2 linked regions of the Drosophila melanogaster genome follow. The protein of the gene in region 2 purifies or fractionates together with the protein of the main gene of each other region. This does not show direct contact. Each region holds a gene or a part of one and is shown on either strand. Other genes may lie near its edges. The genes, in order: Tim8 and B-H1.

Evidence for each region.
Region 1: the proteins of B-H1 (region 2) and Tim8 purify together in Drosophila melanogaster (affinity purification with mass spectrometry, with the first as the bait; one large-scale study listed by BioGRID). This does not show direct contact.

The regions. Positions count from the first base shown.
Region 1 is NC_004354.4:11,366,447-11,369,842, reverse strand, and holds Tim8 (Tim8), read right to left. Parts: upstream 1,399-3,396; 5' UTR 1,308-1,398; coding exon 1,218-1,307; intron 1,140-1,217; coding exon 963-1,139; 3' UTR 560-962; downstream 1-559. Other genes in the region: hop (hopscotch), read left to right, coding at 2,381-3,396. UniProt on the Drosophila melanogaster protein: Mitochondrial intermembrane chaperone that participates in the import and insertion of some multi-pass transmembrane proteins into the mitochondrial inner membrane.
Region 2 is NC_004354.4:17,395,516-17,403,665, forward strand, and holds B-H1 (BarH1), read left to right. Parts: upstream 1-1,962; 5' UTR 1,963-2,178; coding exon 2,179-3,001; coding exon of another isoform or gene 3,002-3,006; intron 3,007-5,949; coding exon 5,950-6,178; intron 6,179-6,312; coding exon 6,313-6,895; 3' UTR 6,896-7,763; downstream 7,764-8,150. UniProt on the Drosophila melanogaster protein: B-H1 and B-H2 are regulated by members of the wg signaling pathway; wg and dpp. B-H1 and B-H2 are coexpressed and functionally required in R1 and R6 receptor cells and primary pigment cells for normal eye development.

The sequences.
Region 1 (3,396 bases), 6.0 Mb from region 2:
CTGTATATTTTGCTATGTATATTATACACGGACACACACTCACTGGCAAAAAGGACATGCGTTTGGCACAGCCTTCGGGCATTTTATGTTTAATATAAATAAGTAGCGGCAGCACGTTGGAGAATATATATTACGGTTTTCTGCTCTGCTCACGGGAACACTAGTTCTAGTTGGGATCAGTGTGACCAGAGGCGCGCTGCGTGTGCAGCCCAATCAGAAGTCCTGGGCAAACGTTCAAAGCGAGCGCGGGAAATAGGTCCGCAAGCATTGCAAGTATTACCTTTGGATTTAGCAGAAATGCATTAATATTACATTTAGTATTACATTTTATACAGGAAATGGCAGCTACATTTGTGTGTTCAAAGTTGCGTAAATATGAATTCCAATTGGAAAGTTGCCGATAGGTACTTATCGAGTGGAAGCACTATACTATCGATATGGAATAACTTTATTTATTCTAATAAACATTTAAGGAACACCTACTATTTCATTCTAAGCCCCTTTCCAGCCTAATTAAATTTAAATGTATGTTGAAATGATCCAATTTCAATTCTATTTTCCTTTCTGCATAATATTAAGCCATCTATCAACAATATTTCATCATTATAAAAGAAGAGATTAAAACTATCCAAGCAAAGGATTACAACACAATGCATTTTAAACGTACGAAACGAAAGATGTATTTATTTTCGGTACGCTAACGTAGGGCCGACCAAACAATTGAGTTGCGCTACCGAATTAAATATTAATTCCGGAACTCGAATCACGGATTTCAATTTCGGGCTGGGTGCAGACTACGGGCCACATACTTTGGATGTCGGCGGCGAAACGCAGCGCGGAAAAAAATGTGCTTACATGATAATTTTTTGTTTAAAAATAGATTTAACAGTAGGACAGTGACGGAAGCGTCCACGGACTCGGATACCCAGATCCCGGTGTCGGTGTCGATTAAGCGAACAAATCTACAGGTCGCCGCCACCTCGCTTTTGGAGCATCTGAGCGAACCGCTGGGTGATAAGCAGCGACGTGTCGATGAATCGGTCGACGCAGTTGCTCAGGCACGTCTCGGTGGCGTGGTCCAGCTTGGTACTCGGCTTGCCGATGCACTTCTCCCAGCAGATCTCGTTGAACTCGTGTATCTGGCGACGATATAATGTGCGAGGGCATATTGTTATGATTACGAATGGTTATTATGTGTATGGGGGAACCCGGCTCACCTGCGCGTTGACCTGTGCCTTCTGTTTCTCAATCAAGAGGAACTCCTGCAGCTCCTTGTCATTGCCGGAAAGGTTCTCAAAATCGGACATCGTGTGATTTTCAGTGAGCAATCTACAAATTGACCGGGCTCGTCCGGAATTTCATATATTCTAAGGTTTGAGGTTATATAAACGACACTGACAGCTGTGAACTGTGGAATTACAAAAATCGATGTGTATTCGATAGCAAAGCTATTCGATACTGGAAATGCCGTGCATATTGCACTGTTTGCACTGTTGTCATATTTAAATGGCAAGAATATAGACGCCATAGAGCAAATAACAGTATATTTTTTTTTCTTAAGCATCCTCCTCCTGCCAACGAGGGTATACAATTTTCAAGAATACATTTCTAAAGTAAGTTGTTATTTATATTTACTGAGAACTATCGAAAAAGAACTAGAACCTCGCGTTGCCAACCACTGGTTCGCAAGGTGCGATAGTACAGGTTATTGGACAATCGATGACAAAGTGGCTCGGCCGTCGGCCAATCGATATCGTGAGGTGCAAATTGTCCGATGAATTTCACTGAAATTCGTGGCTTGTATTGTAGCTTCGCAATTGCAGCTTCGTTTCGACAGCAGGCCCACTTTCAGATCGAAGGCGTCTATAATCGCCATCCAGTCCCGTCGCCCTGTTCCCACAACGCCCCACAAATTTCGGGATCTAGCTGGCGTTTCGGGTGTCTAATTTCGGACCAGTGCACTGTGATTTCCGATTTCCAGTTTACTTTGCTGACGGATCGCCCAAGTGGCGAAGTGGTTCTTGCTCGGAAAGTTGGCGCTTGCTAAAAGAAGGAGCAGTCCAGGTGGTTCCCCGCCAGTGGCATCAATGGAACTCGCGCTGGAGTTTGGGGCAACCTTGCAACTGCAAGGGTAAGAGCATCGCCGATTCCAGGAGCATTCGCAGTAAGCCCAAAAATAGCAACTCAAGTCAGTCGCGGTGGTCATTGTTATTGGCAAGAAGAAGAGGAAACGGATAGAACGCGGCAAATTCCTAGGAAAGCTCCCATGATCTAGCTTCAGTGCGGCCGCGTAAGGAAACTGCTCCAGCCAAGGAACTGGGCTTGCAGGAGCAGCAGATAGCACCCAGCCCACAAGGGACCACTCACCGACAATCCTCTCATGGCCCTGGCCAACGGGGGAGAGGATAGAATGGACGACAGCAGCAGCGGACGCACTTCGCTGGCGGACAGCGCCAGCCTGACGAACTCCTCGCTGCGCAGCGGCACCTCCTCGCAGAGCATCCACACCAACGATGGCACAATCCGTGTGTTCAACTTCACCACCGGCGAATTTGAGCGTTTCCATCCCAACATGCTGTGCGAGGAGATCTGCAATACGATGTGCCGCCAGCTGGGCATTGCACCAATTGCCCAGCTGCTCTACGGAATACGGGAGCACTCGACATCGCGACGTCCCTCGCCGCTGGTGCGTTTGGATCTGACGTGGTGCCTGCCCGGCGAGCGACTCAACTGCCAGCTGGTCTATTGCTTTCGGATGCGTTTCCGTGTGCCCGAATTGGATAGCCAGCTGGAGTTGATCGATGGACGGAGCCACAAGTTCCTCTACCGCCAAATGCGCTACGATATGCGGACCGAGCAAATCCCGGAGATTCGCTATCCGGAGCACAAGGACAAATCAACGGGACTGGCCGTGATGGATATGCTAATCGACGATCAGGAACAGTCGGAGGATCAGCAGGCGATGCGCTCCATCGAGAAGCTTTACAAACTGTATTTGCCACCGAGCTTGTGGCGCGCCCACAGCTTCTTTGTGGGCTCCAAGATACGTGAGGTTTTCCGCAGTCTAAAAGCGAATTCGCTGAGTGTGGAGCGTTTGAAGTGGCACTATGTGCATCAGGTATCCCATTTGGCGCCCACCTATATGACCGAACAGTTCACCTGCACCGTTCAGTATCTGCCCAACGAGGAGGTGGCCCGCGGTAGCGGACCCATCGGCACCAGTCTGGCCCACTCGACGTCGACGCTGGCCAGTTCTGGATCGACCAACACTCTGTCCACGCTCACCACCAACACCAATTCCGTTGCACTCGGCGGCAGTGGCAAGAAGGCCAAACGACGTTCCACCAGCGGTGGAATCGATGTCTATGTGCGAGTCTTTCCACACGATTCCCTGGA
Region 2 (8,150 bases):
TGAAAGAAGGAACTGAAAAAGAATACCTGATGTATTTTTCTGCATATTATATTATCTTGTTGTGCCTCTTATTCTAAAAACTTTGCATCTCCATTGATGCAGAATTCTTTTGCGGATATTTGCAGTGCAAACAGTCCTACTCAATGAGTGGACATTAGGCCAATTAAGGCTACTTTCAGATGGCAAGATACGCAGATAGGTAGATCGAAAGATAGATATATGGATATGTGGATAGGTATCCGAGCGATAGAAGGCTGCACATGGACAACTGTTAGCCAGTTCGTAGAAGAGGCCGGAAAAACGCTGCCAACTGTCCAAGTTCGCTGGCAACTGTCCAGTAATCGAGGGGCAAAGGGGGTGTGGCATTGGGACAACTGCGCATTGCGGTTTCTGCATTTGTACATTTCTTTTTCATAATTTCTCGCATGTGCACTGAGAAAAAAGGGGGTATCCTTTCGGTCCTATGTCTCTGTCTTATGTCTTTGTCTTTATTTTTTGGTTTTTTCAGTGCCAAATTCTGGGCTTACTTCATTTAAATATTATATTTTATAACCAATTCGTTTTTAACTTAATATACTAAACTAAACTTCTCTCAGTGCTGACATTGCTGGCCGAGTGCAATTATTTTAAGCATTCAATTGGCATTGGCAGTTCGAACTCGAATCGACCGCAGACCGCAGGATATACGACTGGGCTGGCAATTATATGCATTTAAGTGCAATAACCGTCATCAGGACGAAGGACTCGGTTGACTTTTCCTCGCATTTGATGCTCCGGCAGACGCTAATTATTTTAATGCGCTCCGCAATTGAAGCGCGCGCTTCAGTCCGCTTTACCCCCGCCCCCGGCGCCCTAATTTCCCCGCCACTAATGACCTTCGCAGGTCACCTGACCTTTTCCCCCTTCCGCTCATGGTTCTCTCCAGGTTGGTTCAGTTCCTCGACCGGAATCAATATCAATCAAACGGAAACCGCCGCTCTCGACAAATTGCATTTGTTCATCCCGCTCCGCTTCCCTTCCTGCAATTAGTCCTGGACTAACATGTGGCCACCGAAACAACCCAAAGGTGAGCCTAACCACCGGGCTATTGGCGTGAAATTTTAATTGCCATCTTGTTGTCTGAGAGCGTGGAATCGAAAAAAGCGACGCCCAAATGTCGGGCGTATAAGGTTTTTCGACTCAAAAATCGAACAATTTGGTGTTAATTGAAGTTCTAATATATAAAGCAAACACATTTAAGGAGCTCTTAAAATATGTCAAGCCAAATGGGACTAAGATTATTTTTAATAAATCAATGATAAAACATGATTGATAAAATTGTTTACTGGCTTGACGTTATTCGCAGATTTCTAAGCGAATATATATAAAAGTATTATAATATTCTTATGTGATGGGAAAGACAGATGTTTTGACATTTCGGAATTGAAAAGTTTTGGTAATTTATGTCTTAATGGTCTAATTGTTAAAGCAGTGAACATAAAGCAGAGTTAATATTTTTGGAATAATATTTTGTTCACAAAGAAGAGTACTCTTCACATAGTAATGCAGTAGCATCGTCTCCATCTCTCAGATCCAACTAACTTCCTCGTAGCGCCATTTTAGGCCTTTTTCAAGGCCCTGAAGAGCTCAAGAGCGTTTGACCGACATTTGGTGCTATAAAAACCGAGAAACCGGGGAGAGACTTTATTTCACCACGCCGTGGTGGATTCACCACGGTGCCGGCAACATGGCGCTGCGCGAGAGAGTGACAGCCGATGAGACGGCGAGAGCCGTGGAAGCGAGAGGCAGCGAAAGCGAGCGACTGGCCATCCCCCTCCGGCCTTCGGTAGCATATGCGGCCCAACCACCGCCTATGACAAAGTGGCAAAATTGTTGCCACAGCCGCCGCTCGAGCCTCAGCCGCAGTCGGCGTCGGCAGCAGCGTTGGCAGCGGCGGATCGGGCAGGTGCGTTTCATAAACGTTCAGTCTCGTTTTGGCAGCCAAGCCGCTCACGACGTCGCTGGGTGAAAAGTTGAGATAAGGCCAAGAAAACAAAAAAACAAACAAATAGAAGACAACTTGACATCTATAGGAAACTCCAGTGAATGTGAATTTTTTTAGTGAAGTGTTGAAAGCAAATATAATTCGTATAAATAATCGGCAAGAAAAGGGAGAAAGAGTGAAACCCCCTAAGTCCTATGAAAGACTCGATGAGCATACTCACCCAAACGCCCAGCGAGCCAAACGCAGCGCATCCCCAGCTGCACCACCACCTCAGTACGCTGCAGCAGCAGCACCACCAGCACCACCTCCACTACGGCCTGCAGCCACCGGCGGTGGCTCACAGCATCCATAGCACCACCACCATGTCCTCCGGCGGCAGCACCACCACCGCCTCGGGCATCGGTAAGCCCAATCGGTCCCGCTTCATGATCAACGACATTCTGGCGGGCAGTGCGGCGGCCGCTTTCTACAAGCAGCAGCAGCATCACCAGCAGTTGCACCACCACAACAACAACAACAATTCGGGCTCCAGCGGCGGCAGCAGTCCCGCTCACAGCAACAACAACAACAACATTAATGGCGATAACTGTGAGGCATCCAATGTTGCTGGCGTCGGTGTGCTGCCATCTGCCCTGCACCACCCACAACCACATCCGCCCACGCATCCGCACACACATCCGCATGCGCTAATGCATCCGCACGGCAAGCTGGGGCACTTTCCACCCACCGCCGGCGGCAATGGGTTAAACGTGGCTCAATATGCGGCGGCCATGCAACAGCACTATGCCGCTGCTGCTGCCGCGGCTGCTGCGCGCAACAATGCAGCTGCTGCTGCAGCCGCCGCTGCTGCCGCTGCAGCTGCTGGTGTAGCCGCACCACCCGTCGACGGGGGAGTGGATGGCGGGGTGGGGCTGGCGCCACCGGCGGGCGGCGATCTGGACGACAGCAGCGATTACCACGAGGAGAACGAGGACTGCGACAGCGGCAACATGGACGATCACAGCGTTTGTAGCAATGGTGAGGTGAGCCTCTGTACTATGCGGGGGGTGGGGTGTTGGCGGCATTAGAGGGTGGTGGGTCAGTATAGCATTCTCGCTAATTCTCGAAAATGCATTTTCAAGCAGGAATTTTCTTCATTCAAAACAAGTTCGCAATGTTTTATAAACAAATATTGGGTCGAAATAGAACCAATTATCAACAAATCTGATTAATGTTGAGCCTTATGATAAAAAATATTCAATATTCAAATTATCCAAGTCATTTTAAAATAAAGCTATCACTGCCTGGTGCTAAGCTTATAAAGTACATATCAGATATTTTTACAACTCTACGACCACTTGCCTTTTTTTTTAAACAGTTGTCCAGATTGTTTTGTAAAGCTAGACACAAAACATGCAGATCTGATAAGTTTAATATTTTTTAATTTGAACGCAAATTTTTTATTAATGATATTGATATTGCGTTTTAGTAACATATTCCCTTTAGGTGATATTAAATATATTTGCACTTAACCAATTCTCAAATGTAGTGAGTGTAAAGGCAGTCGTAAAATAAAATTACTCAAATTCCCCTTTAAATCGTGTTAATGGTTCTGTTGTGAAACGCATTTCATCATAGCCAATTGAAAAAGTAATTCAATTAGGTAAAAAATAAGTAAGTCCGTTGTGCAGCAGTCAAGTTCGTTGCCTAAGTCTTTTGTATTGAAGCGTGCGCCTGAAATGGGGGCTAAAGTGTGGAGCGCGGGGGTGGGGCGGCGGCCCTCGTCGATGTCGCTTTGCAAAACAAACTGTAAAAATTATTGCATGACCATTTTACATTCTCGTTCTTGTTGCTTCTATTTGTTGTGGTTTTAGTTGAAAAAAAAAAATACTTTTTCACGCTTTGTTTCCGTCATTGCGAAGCTTCTAAAGTCCCCTTGCCTCCTCGCCCCTCCTCAAACTTGGGGGCATGCACCTGCGAATCTGAGAGCTATTATGGCAGAATGGAGGCGTGGCTCGCAGTGGGCGGGGGGTTGGCGGAAGAAGAGGATCTGCCTGAAATGCAACAACAAAATGCAGTTTAAAACTGCCGCAGCCGCAGAAAAAATCTCAAATAATTACACACATCGCACTCACTGTTCCCCGCTTCGCCGCTCGCTCTGCTTCCTCCTCCTATCTCACGCACCTGCCCCCTTCGCAATCATTTAATTGTGGAAATTGTTATAAAAATGCATTTAACCCGCTTTAATAGACGCCCCATGGCAATGGCAGCCGGGCAGCAGCAAACGAAAAAATGTTGCAGTCTGTTTGCTCATCTCATCGCCACTCGGTTCGTTTTACTTCGCTTTTGGCCAGCTTCTCATGCGCTCCACTCCATCTGGGCCCTGTTTTGTGCCATTTATTGCCGCAATTTCCTGTTGCCAATTGCACTTTTATAAACGGTAGTCGCGTCGGCCAGCTCTTTTGGGATGACAGCCAGCGGGCAGGGAAGGCGGCAATCCGTCAATTCATTGGAATTTCACAATTGCGATCAGCTTCAGTTACAAAAAAACCAAAATGAATATTGATCACTAGATTTTATTTATAAATTTAATGAAAAATCATAATTATAATAATAAAATCAGATAGGAAAGTTAACTTTTAAAGCTTATATTTGAATTATAAATTTGTAAAAAAAAAAACAAATTAGGTTTTTTTTTAACAACACTGTCGCCCAATTTTATTTGGCACATAATTCTTGATTTTTGGTTTTGCCTTTTTTTTAACGCTCCACAAATTATCGCCCGCAAATCGATAATTCAGCAAGTCGGCGCCAACATTCGTGAGTAATTTTCTTTAATTGCAAATTAATTTTATTCAATTGCGGCATTATCGCTCATTTATCGCTGCCATTAATCATTTATCGTTTACGTTTTATATGGTAAACAACTTTCGCCTTGGCGGCAAAATAAGCTCTTGATTAGCGATGATTAATAGAAATAATTAGCAATGCATCTTTATTTGCTTCATATTTCAAAGTTCAATTAGAGGCATAGCTGGATTTTCAATAAATAAAATAATATTGACTTCTTGGTATCTCATTATCAATAACAAAGATTGAGTCCACTTATTTAATGGATCGTGCAAAATTAAAATCTTGAAAAGATTTTATTATTGTTTGTCTGCTTCCTGATAAATTTATATGCTTAAAACAACAAAAATATGCTAAGATTGTTAATTTCCCCGTTTCTAGGCCTTATTAGACCAAATTTAAATGCGGCACTTGGCAAGTTTTCGCTTTAAATAATTTAACGCTTGAGAGTTTACTTAGCCCGCGTCAACCCCTTAACCCCCTCGTGCCCATGGGCCAAAAACTCGCTCTCGCTTATCGGGTAACCACCATCGGTTGAATTTACATAAATTTTATGTACTAAATGGCTGGCCAGAAAAGGTGGAAAAGCGGCCTTTTCTGGCCAAGAACACTTTTCGCAAAAAGGGGTGCTTTGGCCTGGTCAGCTTGCCTATCTCTCTTGCGGCTTTTTGTGGCAAGTTTAGACATTTTGCGGCACGTTTTTATTACACTCACACACACACGAACCGCTTTGTGAGCGGAAGCGGCAATTGCGTGGCCATAAACGAGCCTCTAACTGTATCTGCAACTGTTTTAATAGATCGCACAGAGATCTAAATCGAATTAGCCTTATGGGCATACCAAATCACCAACAAATAGTGATTTTCGGTAAACCATCTCGGCAAATGTTAAAAACTAGTTTTTAGGCATTTAAAGTTTTATAGAAATGTAACTAATATACCTTCGTTTTAAGTTTAAAAGGGGGAAGTGAATATTATAGTATGTATTATAAACAAACTTCATATTTTATGATAATAAAAAGTTTTGGAGTTTTACGCATATCCTACTTTGCCAAATGTGGTATTAGATTAGACATAATGGACTTTTTGCCCTTAGTTTCTTAATATTTCTAAAATTGAAATTCTCTTTTCTTTCAGGCGGTAAAGATGACGATGGCAACAGTGTCAAGAGCGGCTCCACCAGCGACATGAGCGGTCTGAGCAAGAAGCAGCGAAAGGCGCGTACCGCCTTCACGGATCACCAGCTGCAGACGCTCGAGAAGTCCTTCGAGCGGCAGAAGTACCTTAGCGTTCAGGAGCGCCAGGAGCTGGCCCACAAGTTGGATCTGAGCGATTGCCAGGTGAAAACTTGGTACCAAAACCGCAGGTGGGTTTTAACTTTAATGATTTTTTAATTTGTATTAGTTTTCAAAGATGAACTTAAGAAAATACAATAAAATCTATACACATATATTCTTATTGAAAGTATACTAAAGTTTGGTATCTATTATCATTTTGCAGAACCAAATGGAAGCGCCAAACAGCAGTGGGCCTGGAACTCCTCGCAGAGGCTGGAAACTTCGCGGCCTTTCAGCGACTTTACGGCGGATCGCCTTACCTGGGCGCCTGGCCGTATGCGGCCGCTGCCGGCGCCGCCCACGGAGCCACGCCCCACACGAACATAGACATCTATTACCGTCAAGCGGCCGCTGCGGCCGCCATGCAGAAGCCACTGCCCTACAACCTATACGCCGGCGTTCCGTCCGTCGGAGTGGGCGTCGGGGTGGGCGTGGGTCCGGCACCCTTCTCCCACCTGTCCGCCTCCAGTTCGCTGTCCTCGCTGAGCAGCTACTATCAGAGTGCCGCTGCGGCTGCCTCCGCTGCCAATCCGGGCGGACCGCATCCGGTAGCGCCACCACCTTCGGTGGGCGGAGGATCTCCGCCCAGTGGCCTGGTCAAACCGATTCCGGCCCATTCCGCATCCGCCTCGCCGCCACCAAGGCCACCATCGACGCCGAGTCCAACGCTGAATCCGGGCAGTCCGCCAGGACGATCCGTTGACAGCTGTTCCCAGTCGGACGACGAGGATCAGATCCAGGTGTGAGCGGTACGCCGGAGTGCGGCGATTGTGTGCGTGTGCTAATCATCGGGTTTGGGCGGTCTCAAAAGTGCGATTTCCAAGGGGATACATAAACTACATAGTTGGTTTCACGAATTTAAGTTACATATCACTCATTTTGTAAATCAGTCGGATCGATGATTTTATTGTTCCATAAAACATAAAAGTTTACATGGCATTTAGGTTATTTAGATGAATCAGCAGTTGCATTATTCGTGCACCATATCACAACATCGTTTTTATGGTTCAAACTTTAGTACAAAGGTATTTTGTTTAAATTTAACCAAAATATATTTGGAGGCATTTATAAACTTACGATCTAAACAAATTATTGTTTAAGGTCATAAAAAGCAGCACAAATGAGTTCAGTATTCAAAACAAAATCATGGAACCGAAAATTTGAATGGAACATGCATATTAAAAAAAAAAACATTTGTCAAAGATCAATATCCACAAGAATTCGCGTTTTTGAATCTCCCCTTAAGCCCCGCTTGTGTGTGTGTGTGCCTGCGTGTGTATATATATATTAATATCCCTGTGAATCTGTGTGTGTGCTTAATTTATTTGATTTGCTCTTAGTAACTTATTCGAAATGTTTTTTAAAGAGTTTTTTTTTTTCAATATAAGATAATGAAGTAAAATTAAGCAAATATTTATTTAAATGTTGTAAAAACTAGCAGCCAAAAAAGCAAAATAATTTTGTATAGTTAAGCCTAACCACGAAATGTATTATCGAATAAACAATTTTTTTTTTGTCGGTAGCCTAGACCTATAAACGTTGTAACTGTAAAATGTAAAGTACATTTAACCGCATATTTTTTTGTCTAAATAAAAAATAACAGAATGTGAGAATAGAGCAATCGTTCTGCGGGATTTCGTTGGGAGTGGGGGAGGTTGGACGTGTCCCGGGGCAATTAATATAATGACCAACAGAAACAATTTACAAACGATGTGTGCGGGGAGGGGTGGCGGGAAAGGGGGTTTTATGACGACGTGCGAGCCAACCCCTAATGATAATAATTGCATGCAAAATGCATTTAACCGCAATTAGTGCATTTATTAGGCCAAAAGTTGATATATTGAATAACTGCCACCGTTGGCCACCAGTTACCAGCTACCAGCTACCCGCTACCAGTTACCTACTGCCAGTTGCCAGTTACCAGTTGGCCAAAACCAGGGGCGTCCCTCGCCAAGGGGACTCGAGTTCGAGCAGTTATGGCCATGTTTGGCATTGCGTGCT